2 linked regions of the Notamacropus eugenii genome follow. The protein of the gene in region 1 interacts with the protein of each later gene in a biochemical or structural test. Links are inferred from orthologs where the notes say so. Each region holds a gene or a part of one and is shown on either strand. Other genes may lie near its edges.

The links.
Region 2: the proteins of MBL2 (region 1) and complement receptor type 1-like interact in a biophysical measurement, tested with the Homo sapiens proteins (2 studies listed by IntAct). The link is inferred for Notamacropus eugenii from reciprocal best matches to the Homo sapiens genes MBL2 and CR1.

The regions. Positions count from the first base shown.
Region 1 is NC_092872.1:227,507,326-227,514,629, reverse strand, and holds the start of MBL2 (mannose-binding protein C), read left to right. Parts: upstream 1-4,284; 5' UTR 4,285-4,390; intron 4,391-4,533; exon of another isoform or gene 4,534-4,760; intron 4,761-5,394; 5' UTR 5,395-5,403; coding exon 5,404-5,584; intron 5,585-7,304. UniProt on the Homo sapiens protein: Calcium-dependent lectin involved in innate immune defense. Binds mannose, fucose and N-acetylglucosamine on different microorganisms and activates the lectin complement pathway.
Region 2 is NC_092873.1:431,677,966-431,685,377, reverse strand, and holds the start of complement receptor type 1-like, read left to right. Parts: upstream 1-4,398; 5' UTR 4,399-4,463; coding exon 4,464-4,521; intron 4,522-7,412.

The sequences.
Region 1 (7,304 bases):
ATAGAACTGATTTCAAGTTGTACTGCTAATAAATATTGGCTGTGGAGAGGTGATGAATTCAAGGCAGAGATCAAAGTATATAAATGTATGTATGGGTATATGTATTTATATATGTTTATGCATGTATGTATGTGTATACACACATACACATATGTGTGTATACACACATATATATCTTTTTAGAATGATCAGTGGAGGAAATTCTTTCACTATTGTATTTGCTAGAAGGATTTTATTCTGTTGGAGTTGTCTTTTAATGAGGAGGAGGAAGGTAGAATGGAGAAAAATGTATTTTTGTAAATTGAAAAGATAAAATTTAATTTTAAAAATATACAACAAACTATCTGTATGATACTGAGTAGTTCAAATCTCAAATTTTTAATACTATTAGTTGCATGGAAAATACCTATCTGCAGTTATAGAGGGAATGCCTCACCAGGATCTCCCTACACAGTTCTGGTGGGGAAAAAAAACACAGGATGAAACTGTTGTAGAGGAGAACCATCGATACACCTGTATGCAACAAATCCAAGAGCCTCTTGGGAGACCACCAGAGGGAGCACTTGACTTGAAGGAGAGATGAGAGAAACAGGACTTATTTTTTTATTTTGTTGCTCAGTTAAGAGCCTTTCAATTAAAGAAACCATAGAATGCTGTTATAGATATAAAAATGTATAGGATGGAGAAGAGGAAGGGAGGAAAGAATGTCTTATCTTTAAAGGTCAACTTCTTTCTGGTATTGAAATACAATCAGTTTTAAGTTCTTCCTATAGAGAAGAAGTTAAACTTCTTATGAAAGGTTGCTCAATGAAATATGGACATATATGAATCAATGAGTAAAAAGTCATTTATTTAGCACTTACTATGTGCCAAGCACAATGCAATGTGCTGGAAATACAAAAATGGAATGTGAAGACCTTTAAGGTTCTTATAATCTAATGAAGGAGGCAACACACAAAGAGTAGTGAACAGAGAGGAATGCTTTGGTCCAGAAATTTTTAAGGATGATGAATAGACTGAGGTCACAGGGGAATAAATCGGCACATCCAACACAAGAACACTAGAACAGTTGATATGATCATGTTTAATAGTTACACATCTTTGAGGGAGGAGGGGAGAAAGAAAAGGAAAACTGTAGGGAAGGACAGAAGGAGGGAAGGTAGCAGGCAAGTCTATGGAGGAGACAGAGTTGGGAGTGAATTAAAGAATGGCTGGTGCTTTTCCTGAACTAGTGGTCCAGGAGGGGAAGAAGAAAGAAAAAGATAACCATAGTCTGAAAGAATGATGGTATCTGAATTCCCCAAAGCAGGCTACCACTTTCCTTCCTCAGCTCTATAGGGAACACAGTTCCTTTGGTCATGTATGTAGGTTTTAAAGAGAGACCATGTAGAGTTCAACCCCTTTATTTAATAATGAAGAAATTGAGACTCAGTGATGTTAAGTGATTTACCCAGGGTCACACAAATAATAAATAGCAGAGGTAAGTTTTGAACCAAAGTCATTTGACTTCAGTCTTTGAAAGATCCCAAAGTGTCTATAGTCATATGAAAACATACTTTAAGCCACTACTGACTGGAGAAATACAAATTAAAACAATTCTGAGGTACTACCTCATATCTATTAGATTGACTATCAGGACAGAAAAGGTAAATGACAAATGTTGGAGGGACATTAATGTATTGTTGGTGGAGTTGTGACCTGATTCAAATATTTCATAGAGCAATTTGGAAATATGCCCAAAGGGCTATAAAACCATGCATACCCTTTGACCTAGCAATACCACTACTAGGTCTGTAGATCAAAAAAGATTTTAAAAACAGGGAAAATCACCTATATGCACACAATATTCATGGCACCTCTCTTCTGGGACTAAAGAATTAAAAGTCAAGAAAAAGCCCATCAGTTGGGGAATGCCTGAACAAGTTGTAGTAGGTGATTACAATGGAATACTTTTGTACTATAAGAAATGATAACCAGGATGCTCTCTGAAAAATCTGGAAAGACTTGCATGAGTTGATGCAAAGTAAAATGCATGGTGTACAAAGTAATAGCAATATTGTAAGATAATCAGCTGTGAATGACTTAGCTATTCTCAGAATACAGCAATCCAGGACAACTCTGAAGGACTGATGATGAAAAATGCTATCCATCCCCAGAGAAAGAACTGATAATGTCTGAATACAGATTGAAGTATACTTTTTAACTTTATTTTTCTTGAGTTTTTTGTGTATGTTTTCTTTCACAACGTGACTATTATGGATATGTTTTGCCTATATTCGATTGCTTGCCTTTTCTATGAGTGGGAAAGGAAGGGAAAGAATTTGGAACTCAAAGTTTTTTTAAAAGTTGTAAAACAAAAGTTTTAAACTCATAGTTTTAAAAACAAATGTTAAAAAAATTTGATGCAACTGGGGAAAAATAAAATAATAAATAAAAGCTAAATATATGTGTGTGTGGTATAATGAAAGATGATCGTATCCCAGAATTTGAATGGGGTTTTTAGACCAAAGCTTAACAAATAGGAATGAGAGGCTTCAGGCCAGACATACACCTAACAAGAACTCACTCGATTTGGCTAGGGTATTGAGAGTCTATTCAAAGGAGAGAGGTATTCCACCTGTGATCTCATTGGTATAGGGAACTCCCAGGTGATGAAATTCCTTCTATCAGTGCAGGTCAGCACCTTATTTGTAATTTAGGGTCTTGGAGAATTGCTTAGAGTCCATGCTCTAGTTAAGTGACTTGTCCAGAGTCGCATAGCCAGTTATGTATCAGAGGCCGGATTTGATTTTGGGTCTGCTTGACTTTGAGGCTAGTTCTCTGTCCACTATACCATGTTACTTCTTTTAAGTCTAATCTAAAGGGCTGTAAACTGAAAAGAGGGAAATAAAAACTGGTTGATATTCACCAGTGTAGATACTGTAGAAAATAGCTACCTCATAAGAAGAAAAGAGGCAGTCAAAACACCTAGAAGTTTAGAAGTCAAAATCCAAGAAAAGATCCTGTCCTAAAAGTCACAGTTCACGTTATGTATAACAATAAGCTCCAAAGGGTTATATGACTTAAAATATGAATATAAAAGGTTATATTGTAAACCAGAGAAGAAAGAGGAAAGAAATATATACCTTTCAAAACCATGAATAGAAGGAAGAATTCTTAATTAAACAAGGATTAGAGGTGATCATAAAAGATTAAAAATAGACATTTGTTGTTCCTTAAAACTGAGAACTTGCACCAAAAAAAGTTTTGATTATTCAAGTTAGAATTATTAAGGAAACAGCTCACTGGGTGGAATCTTTGGAGCAAATTTCTCAAAAAAAGTTGTCTTGTTTTATTTTGATGGGCTATACTTACTGTTTACAAGAAAGGGCTTTGGTAGTACATAGAGAAGTGGGGCGGTGGGGGCAGTGATAAAAAATATAAGAAAAGAAAGAAAAGTCCATCAATGAAGCCCTAAAAATAAACATAGAAGAGAGAAAGATACATAGGTTAATAGGGATAATAGCTTAATAGCAGGAAGTTTTGTTGTTATTGTGTTAAATTTAATATATACTTTGAAAACATACGTAACAGTTCACAGTTTCCTACACCATCCTCTTTTTTGTTCTTTGTACATAGAAATGTTCATGTTCCTTTATGGTTTGTTAAATTCACAATTTAACATTAACAACCTAGGGTTGGAGCCCCCAGGTTTGGGCATAGCATTTTCTCTTTTTTGCACTAAGGGACCCCTATGGACCTGTGCACATGGTCCAAACAGCATCAGCCTTGGAAAACCCTGCCTCTAATGAGAGAAGTTAGAATCCCATTTCTCATACTCTTTGGTTCATTTTGTACCCCACTCTAGCATTTAAAGTTTTTAGTTTTGGCTCAGATTCATCTCATCTAGGGTCTCCCCAAAGGTGGAAATAGGAATCAGGTATGGGATAGTTATTTATTTGTTACACAAAAAAGACTGTCATGTGGAAGCTTAGACTGATCCCAGAGAGAAGAGTTAGGAAAAGTTTACTAATAGTATGTTACTAAAAAATGCAATGGACTGTCTTGGGCAATAAAGGACTTCCCTTCATTGAAGGTCTTCATGAAAAGCTAACTAACCACTTTTCAAGTATGTTGTTGAGGGAACTCATTTTTAGGTATGTGTTGCAGGCTCTGAAATTCTGTCTCTGTGATTCTGTCTCAATCTGTCATTATCCATTGGGAGCAATGAGAATAACAGCTGGATATTTGATTCAGTTGCTTATTAATCTGTGGAAGCAAAACAAGGACAGACCTCTACCATGTAAACAGAGTGATTCTTTATATCTTGTTGAATCCAGCCTCTTCCCGTCTTCTCTGGGTTAAACTAGAGGACACTCTGTTCTGTTATCTCTTTCCTGTTGTATGTCAGGTAAGTTTCTGATCAGAAATACAGCCTGTGGAACTGGGGTCAAAGATCTGTATGTTTAACTTGATTCCAGGAAAGGGACTTTCCAATAGATTTTCAGGCAATGTTTCAATCAACTAGAGTTATGATTAAAGGTCTTTCTATTTTGATATTCCTCATCTCCTTTTAGGTCCCTTGGTTCCTTTGGAAGTATGGCATTCTTTAGAAATAGGCCAGATCTGGTTCAGGCAAAATAAAAAGGGACATAGAATTATTTGGTCTCCTACTGAAGGGTTAGCAACTTTCCCACCCTCACCCTGTGGACTTCCTGGCAAGGACAAACAAGATTTACAAAACTTTTTGCAGGTTTGAACCATAGGTGGGAATGAACAAAGTAAGAAAAAGGGAGAAGAGATGGAAAGGAAGAAAGGAAGGGAGGGATGGAGGGAGGAAGGGAGGGAAGGAAGGAAGGGAGGGAGGAAGGGAGGAAGAGAGGGACAGAGGAAGGGAAGGAGAGAGGGAAGGATTTTGTATATCAAGATTTTTAAAATTTTATTTTATTATTAATTTTGTATGTCCAGTCCTGTGCTAGGCACTATAGAGGATCCTAGGAAATAGAGGGCATGTAGAAGAAAGCAGTCAGACTAATCTGGGCAGTGAGGGTAATGAGTATACATCATATGGGTTGGAAAGGCAAGAGATGTGTCTGTCTTTAATGGAGAGTTCTCATTCAGACAGAATGGGAAAGAAGTCAGGATAATTAGGGTGGGGACTCCCTTGTATAATGATTTCCAAATCAGTTTGGATTGATTAATCTTGAAGACAATGGGGAGTCAATAAAACACAATAAAACAAGAGACTGACAGGATCCAAAGCAGTGAAACTGGCTGTTTTGGAGGGAAAAGAGACAGCTGGTGGCAGCACCACCAGGAGGAGACAATAGCAAGAAGGATAAGAGTGAGGCTGGTTGAAAATCCCTGCCATTTTTCTTTCTAAATCAATTGACCTCAAGTTTCTACCCTTCCAAGGTTTGAAGAATGATTGACTTTTCCTGGTTCCCACTCCTCCTCATCATCATGGCTGTCTACTCAGAGCCAATTTTGAGTGAGACGACCGAGCAGACCTGCTGCTCCGTGGTCTCTTGTGGTACCCCTGGGGCAAATGGGGCTCCTGGAAAAGATGGAAGAGATGGGCTCAAGGGAGAAAAAGGAGAACCAGGTACATGCTAATTGGGATCCTTCTCCCTGAGTCTTCATTTCCACCAGGTGATCCCATGTGATGGTTGCCTCTTCTAAGAGTTCAGACTCAACATATGAGGTCATATTTATCAGTGATGTTGAATTGTTTCTCTAGATTCAATCTCTGTCCAAAAACTTTTCCTCTAACAAGAGAGTGAGATGATCAGAGAAGTTCTATTTATCTAGCTCTGGTAATCTGACACCCCAGTTTCCAAGAAGTCAAAGGAAGGATTATGTTGGCGCTTTATCAAAATAGGCAGTATATGGGGCCATTTTCAAAAGCTGTCTCTTGAGAATCTCTCAGTCCACCCCACTTTGGGGAAACCCATGGAATACTGCTTGCTTAGTTTGATTTAAAGTAAACACTAAATACTGGGAAGAAAGTCTGGGAACTCTTTCATGAGATCACCTGTTTGTTTTATATCCTCCTAAGGTGTCCACATATAGATCACAGTGAAATATTTTTTGCTCATTTCACTCCATTTTGCACAGAAGCAGAGGACTATGAGTTCAGGGACTGCATACCCATCTGTATAAGTGGTTTTGCTTACAGTGGTATACTCATTAATTGGGTAATTACATTTCCTGGCATATGATGTCTTAAGACTTTTATGTCTTTCAAAAATATTTAATGTGTAAGATGTCCTCCATTTCTTGTGAGTCTTTGTTACATGTAATTTAGCATTGAGTTCATCTGTATAATCTTGAATTCTTAATTCATGAAAACATACTTATGAATTAGATATAAATTGTAAAATAATCATTTTTTTTAAATCTAGCCTCGATTATAGCCTACAGATTCTTGCTAGGTCTTAAATTAAACAAGTTCTTGGGAACTGAAGCATATTTCTCTCCAGTTTCTGAATAAATTTCTTAGCTTTTCATGACCTGTGGCATGACACAAGTTTGCATTGCTATTGAGGAATTCCTGTAATATCAAAGCAATTCTATTTGCTAGTATGTCAATAGAATTATCAGAGTTTATTATTTTCTTCAGTTGGGACAAAACTTCTAGGCTTACTGAATGTAAAATAATCCCTCAAGTATTTTTGGAAGTGAATGTTTTACAGTCTGATGAAGATGGCCAGATCTTGCAAGCTTATCTGGACTTCTGAAAATGATTTGGAATTAAAAGACCTTGAATGAAAAAATAAGTTCATTAGTAAAAAATTAACATTTTCTAATCTTTAGTACATTAGTCTTTATATGGTTTTGCTCATGAAAAGCATTTTTTACTGACAGTAAGAGTTAGCAACTGATTTTCACTGTTCTTCCAACTTTAAAAAAAGTCTACACCATACTATAGAAAGATTGAAAACAATCCTTTTAGTCAAGAGATTCCTACAAAGCTTTTTACTTATTTTCTGAGGAATAATCAAGTTATTTTACAGCAACATTTTGTCAGCTGTTAGCATTATTTTTCATTTGGACTTCACTACCATTTGTGCTTTGTTGAGACTGCTCTTATTTCTTGTGGATTTGAAAAATGCTTGAAATGCATGACTTTCCCATACCCCTGTCATCAATACTTTTAATAGTTATTGAAGTGTGATCCTTGACAGCTACACTTTTTACAAGTTTCCATGAAGGAATAGCCCTTCTTTAAAAATTCTACAGAATTAAAAACACAAGAGAATAATGAAAGATGTATGTCCCAGATCCACTATTCAGCTAACAAAAATCAAAGTGGAGAAATCAGC
Region 2 (7,412 bases), on another chromosome or scaffold:
CCCAGAAAGATATAGTGCAAGATTGGAAAGCTATGTTGGCACTATATTGCCCAGGGTCTTGAATACTTGTCTAAGGTTGGACTTTATTCTATAGACAATGGAGAGCCGTTGAAGGATTTGAGGAGAGGAGTAACATGATAAAACCTGTGAATTATGAATATTAATAGTATTAGAGAGGTATACAGGATGAATTGGAGCTGGGAAAGGCTAGACATTCAATGTATGCCCTCTCCAAAAGTATTTCCTGATAGCCTGAGGTCCTTGAATTAATTCCTCTGTTCTCCATTTGCCTTTAAATGGTCTGATTTCAAATTACTGAGCCCAAGAATTGCTTATATTTATATAGCATTTTAAGATTTATAGAAACTTTCTGTAAAGCACCTTTTGAGATTGGTGATACAAGATTATTATTTTTTTTCTATGGATGAATGAAAGAAAAAGCACTAATTTAGTACTGATTATGTTCCAGGCACTGTATTCAGCTCTGAGAATACAAATGCATAAGTAAATCAGTCCCTGTCCTCTTATCTAGCAAGGCAATCAATAAAAGAGAATGATGGCCAGGGAAGAGTGTTGGGATGGGGAATTCTGAAGGAGTGGTAATTGTAGTCATATGGCAAATGATTGCTATGTCCTTTCCAAGAATGGTAGTGTTGATTTGATAATGTTCTCAGAGCTAGAATAGGAAGGCAGCATGTGAGAGAAGGGACAGTATGGTATGGAGATGGTCAGAAAGTGATCGCCAGAGACGGGGCAAGATCAGGTGAATGAATGTTCATCCATCAGAGTTCAGAACCACAAGGGTGGGAGCTGAAGTTGCAGACTGAAAGTGGAGTCTAGAGAGCAGATAGCATGGCATGGGGATGGCCTGGGAGTGAGGTCAATCTTAGATTCATTGATATTCAATGATTTGACCAGGATTATCCAAGCAGAAGTCAAACTCAGATCTTCTCAAAGTGTTCTTTCCCTTTACCATAGCTGTCTCTTGTGTCAAGGTCTGTGGCTGGGTACCAAGTCACTGAAGTTACCAGGTAGGATTCGATGTTATTTCAGTAATTTTGCGTTGTGATTAAAATGTGAGGCAGCATAACATAGTTGATAAGTGGCATGCCTTGGGGTCTGGAACATTTGATTTCAGATCTTACCCCTGACCCACGTAGGCGAGTCATTTGCTGTATCCTAGACAACTCTATGATGCTGAGTTACAGGTGAGTTGCCTCCCAATCTGCATTTATGGAGAGAGTCTACACATCCTACATCAATGGAATCACAGGTTCTGAAAAGATGGGTTGAGTAGGCTTTGTAGGCAACAAACAGAAGTCTTAGGATCTGTCTAGGCCTAATTGATTTAGGAACCTCTTCTGCAAATGAAATGATGAGCTGGCCTGGGACAATAATTAGTAGTTATAAAAATTTCTATGGGAAAATGTAAGTTCCTTGAGTGTAGGGACCATGTTGTTTGCTTCTTTTTGTACCCTCAGTGCTTAGCACAGTTCCTTACACATGCTAGGTGCTTAATAAATGTTCTATCTATCCATCCATGTATGTGTGTAAGTATGTGTTCATCTATTTCTCTACTTAATTGTGTGTCTATCCATCCATCCATCTGTCCATCTGTCCATCCATCCATCCATCTATCCATCTACCTGTCTTCCTATCAGAAGGAAATGATGATATTTGTTTCTGGTAATAAAACCTAAGAAGAGCCTAAATGTATTAATGTTTTTAAAAAGGCTGGCACAATTTGATTCTTTTTTCCTGGACCATTATGAAGACAGAGAAGAACATCATATTCAGTAGCAGTAGACTTTTTCCTTTTTCCTCAATAACCTAATGTTTGACCTTTGCCTTTTGAGAAGAATCTTAGTCCCAATCCCTTGCTCCTACAGGCAAAGTAAAGTCTTTCCTGACATAAAGAGCCTTAAATTTCAAGTCACATTTCATTCCAATGTTTTTAATGGAAAATTCCGTACACCTCCCCCCCCCATTCACTTTCTTTCCCTGTTAACAATAGACTCAATTCTTCACTAAGATCTAAGCTTTTGAAATATCTGGCTCTTTGCTAATTTCCTGGATTCTATAAATACCCATTTAGGTAACCTCTGTTGGTTTTCCAAGATGGAAGCTAAATCTATTTTAGATGGCTTCCAAGTCTGTTTTCTCATGGCATTTCATTTTTCCTGAATCAGTCTTGTTCCAAAATAAAGCATTCTGTCTGTATAAATCCAATATATTTCGATACTTCCATGGATCTGTGATCTTAATGATGTGTGTACTTACATCCCATCTTTTATTTACCTCAGATTCCACTTTATTCCTTCCTATTAAATTCTAGTCTTAAAATTATGTCAGATCCTGTATCTATATACTCCAGATATTTTAATGAAAATAAAAACTTTCTGTTGATATAATTTTTCTATAAGAATTAAGAGTACCTCAATCATTTAAATACACATTTGGTAGCCACCTTGTTTTATAACTGTAACTGGGCATTTCTAGGCATGCCCAGTTATAACATGGAGATGCCCTGAGAAGCCTTTTGAGCATACCCCCTTTGTCTAGCAAGGAGCCCACTGCATCTCCTACTCTGAGGGCAGAGTTTGCTTCACTCTTCAATTGTACTAACGGCACCCAGCACAGTGTCTTCAGCAAGCAGTTAAAAAATACTTGTTGATTGATTCAATGAACTGAAAGTCACACAACTAGGAAGTAACAAAGGCTGGACTTGAATCTGTTTCTTGATTTCCAGTTACATGCTTTCTTCCCTGTGAATATCTGCAATCTCGACACATACCTACTTGAACATTTCAGAATTCTGTACTTTCACTTCCTCTACCCACTCAGATCTTAACCTAACTATGCCTCAGTAGACAGTCTTCATGAGCTATTGTGGTCAAAGGAACTTGTCACCTGGTGACTAACCTTCTGAAGGATAAGCCTGCTCTGAATATGAAAGACACAGTCTTTCTGGTGACTGTTCTCAAAGCCTTTCCGACTTGTCCATTGCCCTTTCCCATTTCCCCCAAACCCCCTAGTCTTTAAGGACCCAGCTTCACCTTCACAGTATGATGAAGAACTTCTGTGTAGGACTTCAGTGGAGATTCACTGATTAAGGGACCATAGATTTTTAGCTGGAAGGGACCCTTGATATCATCTGCTCCAATCCCTTTATTTTACAAATAAAGAAACTGACATAGAGTGGTTAAAACACACCTGGGCTACGACATGTCAGGATCATGCGTCTAGAACTGGAAAAGATCACAGAGGTTAGAAGCACTCTCCTCATTTTACAAATAAGGAAGCAGAGGCCCAGAAAAGTCAAGCATCATGATCAAGGTCATGTAAGTAAGAGCCAAGAATCAAATTCTGGTCCTTTGACTCCAAATTAAACACTCCAAGACACACAATTAGTAAGTGGTATATTTGCACCCAGGACCTCTGAGTCCAAGTTCAGTTTATTCTCCAAGGAACCCATGCATTTTTAAAAAAAATACATTAAAATAGAACTTAGAACAATGACATACAAAGAGCTCATAAATGCTAGTTGAATAACTACATAATTATATTGAGAGGAAATATGGTGTAATGCAGTAGTGTCAAACACAAATGGAAACCAGGAACGCTAAGCCATACGTGAGAATCCCTGTAGGCTGTACGTTGCCACAGAAAACCATATATTACCATTATCTGTTTTATTGTCATTTCTATTTATTTTGTAATATTGTAAATGTTATTTTACATTTTAATCTGGTGCAGGAAGAATTTGGGAGTGTTCGGACTCCCGTGGGGCACAAACCAGGGGAGAGACCTGGTTCAAGTCTGCTCTTTTCATGTTGCGTGACCCAAGTCAAATCACTTAACTTCTCTCAGGGTTGAATTTTCTAAGTGGAGGAGAAGGTGCCAATCTGCATTGGGGGAGGGAAGTTTCTCCCATATCAATGAAATCCAGTGTCCCTATCCCTAATTATCTTGATTTTATACCATGGGTACACAGAATACTGTGCAGAGTCTAAAGGGGTGGTCTGCAGTCTTGGGAGGTCAAGCCCTGCCACTAAGTTAGGGCAGATCACTCTGAAATGATTCCGTCGAGAGCAAGACTTTGCAGACTCTGCGGTATCTTCCCAAAAGAAGCTCCCGAAGAAGCCTGGCTCGGAGGAGACATCAAGCACAGAAAGGAGCTGCTGCTCAAACTTCAGCTAGCGGAGCAAGCCAAGCCAAGCAGCGCCAGCTTCTGGTTGGCCAGGTCCCTTCCAGGAGAGAGCCAATCCCAGCCGTCTCCGCCACGCGCCCCTGCGGGGGAGGAGGATGAGAAAGAGGGGGAGTCTGTGGTCTGGCCTCGCGCCAGGTGCAGCCTCAATTTAAATGAGACGCGGCGCAACGAGTGTCCCGGGGATCCGAGCATCTCGCCTTGCACCTGGCCGCTCCTCGCGGTCAGACCTCGAGACCTGGCTCTGGCGACCGGCATGGGTGCCGCGCAGCTCCTCTGGGGCTTGTTGGCTTGCCTCACGCCGGGAGTCTGCGGTGAGTAAGGAGGCTACGAACCACCGCGGGGGCTGAGGGGCGATTTCGGGGCGTTAGTCAGCACCCCCCGAGGGATTGCTCCACGTGGTCCTCCTCCGCCTGCCCCACTCCCTCCGGCAGACTTCTCTTCTGCATGCCCCCGCCCCCCAAGGGCAGAACCGGAGCCTCGGGGGTGGCAGGCAGGTGCAGGGAGGCAGCTCCCCCGGAGAAAAGGTGGAGGGAGGATCGCTGCCCTGGAGGGCCTTGGGGGTGGTTGGGTCTGGGCCTCAGGGGTCTCTTCCAGCCCAGGGCCCCTTTACTGAACTGAGGGGCTTGTGAGCGCTTGGAGCTTTGGAATTGGCATTCTGGGGTTGGCATCTTGTAGCGAAGCCCTCCTCCATCGTCGCTGTGTGTGTGTGCCTTCACCACGCGCCTCTGAATCCTTGGGCTAGGAAGGTTTCTGTCCAGCTGCAATTTCTCGCTCCTCATTCCCTGATGCCTCCGAATTTTGATCTGATCATCCACTGGGGTGGAGAGTAAAGGATGGAGTTTTAAACCTCGAATATTTGGAATTAGAAGTCAAATATAGTTCTCTCGAGCATCGTACTTCTTTAATAGTATACCCTGTATACTATTCAGCTTTTGCTAAAATATTTCTGATGTTATTCTGAATTGAATGAATCATAACGATTCAAGAATTTATCAAGTACATTGTAAAAGTGAAAATTTCCTGGTTTATGATAAGGGTTGTTCTTCATTATTGTCCCCATTTGGGGTTTTCTTGGCAAAGATACTTGCCATTTCCTTCTCCGGCTCATTTTACAAGATGAGGAAACTGAGGTAGAATTAAGTGACTTGCCCAGGATCACACAGCTAGAAAGTGTCATCAGATTTGAACTCAGAAAGATTCCAGACAGGGCACTCTATCAGCTGGACCATCTAGATGACCTGTGATATTCATTCATTACATTATTTCAGGAGTAGTAATTAGGGCTTAGATGAGGGTGGTATAACTTTAGGAATGTTGGAGGAAATGAGTAGGAGAGATTGTGGTTGTAGAAATGACAGGAATTAATTAAGCAAACCAGTTATTGAGACCTATTGGTATACTGTACTTGATATGAAGTGAAACCAGCATTTGGCACTGAATATTCCACCTCCTATTTCTGTCTCCTTTACTAACACATCTTCCTCCAGTCCCTTGATTTATGGGTAATTCCCCAACGTTCTTAACTTGGCCTTGTCTTGATATACTTACTCTGTTGGAGGATTTACCCAGACAGAACATATATAACAATGTTCATTCAGTAATATACTTGGGACTTTAGCAACCTTGTCTTTGCAGAACTCATATACAATAATTTCTGGCTGTATACATTGCATCTCACCTGGAATGTGAAATTCAGCATGTCCAAAACCTAAATCATGGCCTTTCTTTTTCTTACAGCCCCAGGAAAAATAGTATTGGACTAGGTGTTAGATTTTTCTGCTGATAGGTTGAAACACTTACTAGTTGCAAGTCCTAAGGCAAATCTTCCCCAATCCAGCATGCCTGAATTAAGAGATAGTGCTGAGATGTGCCTATAAATTTGTCCCCATTCTCTCCATTCTCCTGTCTATGCCAAATAGTATTGTTAGGTTGATCGTCCTTTAAAACAAACAAAAAATAAGGCTCTTTTTTGACCAATTCAGCAACATCTATTCACCAATACTCATGATATTACCTTGCTCTAGAATTTGTAATAATTCCCTATAAATCCCTGTATCTACAGGATGACGTCCTATCATCTTGTAGGCAGCTGCTGGAGCAATTATAAGAGTACGGAACTTGGAGTCAGAAAACTTGAGCTTAAATCCAGCCTCAGCTACACCAGTTTTCTCATCTATAAAATGCATCTAATAATAATATCTACCTCCAAGGGTTGTTGTGAGGATAAGATGAGATAATATTAGTAAAGGGTTTTGCAAACTTCTTCCAGGTATCATCATTACTTTAAGTCATCACATAATCACAGAGCCATCCTTTATTTCCCACTGTTTCCAAAACGTTCTCTGCCTCAATCTGGTTGGTTTCCCTTATACACACACCTAGCATGCCTTCCTCCTCCTTTCTTCATGCCTCTATCTCAAGTCCTGCCTCCTCTATGATGAGTCTTTATTCAGTTTATGCAGCTGAAACTAATCTTCCCTTTCTATGGCCCTTAGAGTCAGTGCTCCACAATGGGATTTATAGGCAGTGTGTTGTAGTGAATTGAGCTCTGAACTTGGAGTTAGAAAAGCTTGGGTTAGAATCTGCCCCATATTCGCTTTGTGACTGAGGGGAAGTCATTTAACCTCTGAGTCTCTGTTAACTTCTGTGTAATAGAGATAATAATACCTGTAGTGTCTCTCTCAGAGTTCTTCTGGGAGCTCAAATGGGATATTAGGTAATTTGGAAAATATACAGTGTTGTGTAAGTGTTGTAATTACTAGTCTTTCATCTACATGCTCTTGGGAAAATTACTTTAGTCAGGCAGCAAACAATTATTAAGCACCTACTATGTGCCAAGCATTGTGCTAAGTAATGGGGATTCAAAGAAAGGCCAGAATATAGTTCCTTTCCTCAGGAACTCCCAATGTAATAGAGTACACAATGTGCAAATATCTGTGTTCATACAATATGTTTACAGTGTAAATAAGACATAATCTCAGAGGAAAAACATGAGGGGCTGGGAAGAGGGGGTGGGGTTGAGGAGAAGGAAAGTCTCAATTTCTTCTTCTGTAAAATAGAGTCTGGATTAGATGGTTCCTTCTAGTACTTAATGTTCTGTGAATTTGAAATTATTTCAGGGCAGTAAATATTTGAAGGATAGATAGATAGATAGATAGATAGATAGATAGATAGATAGATAGATAACATTATATTTGTATAT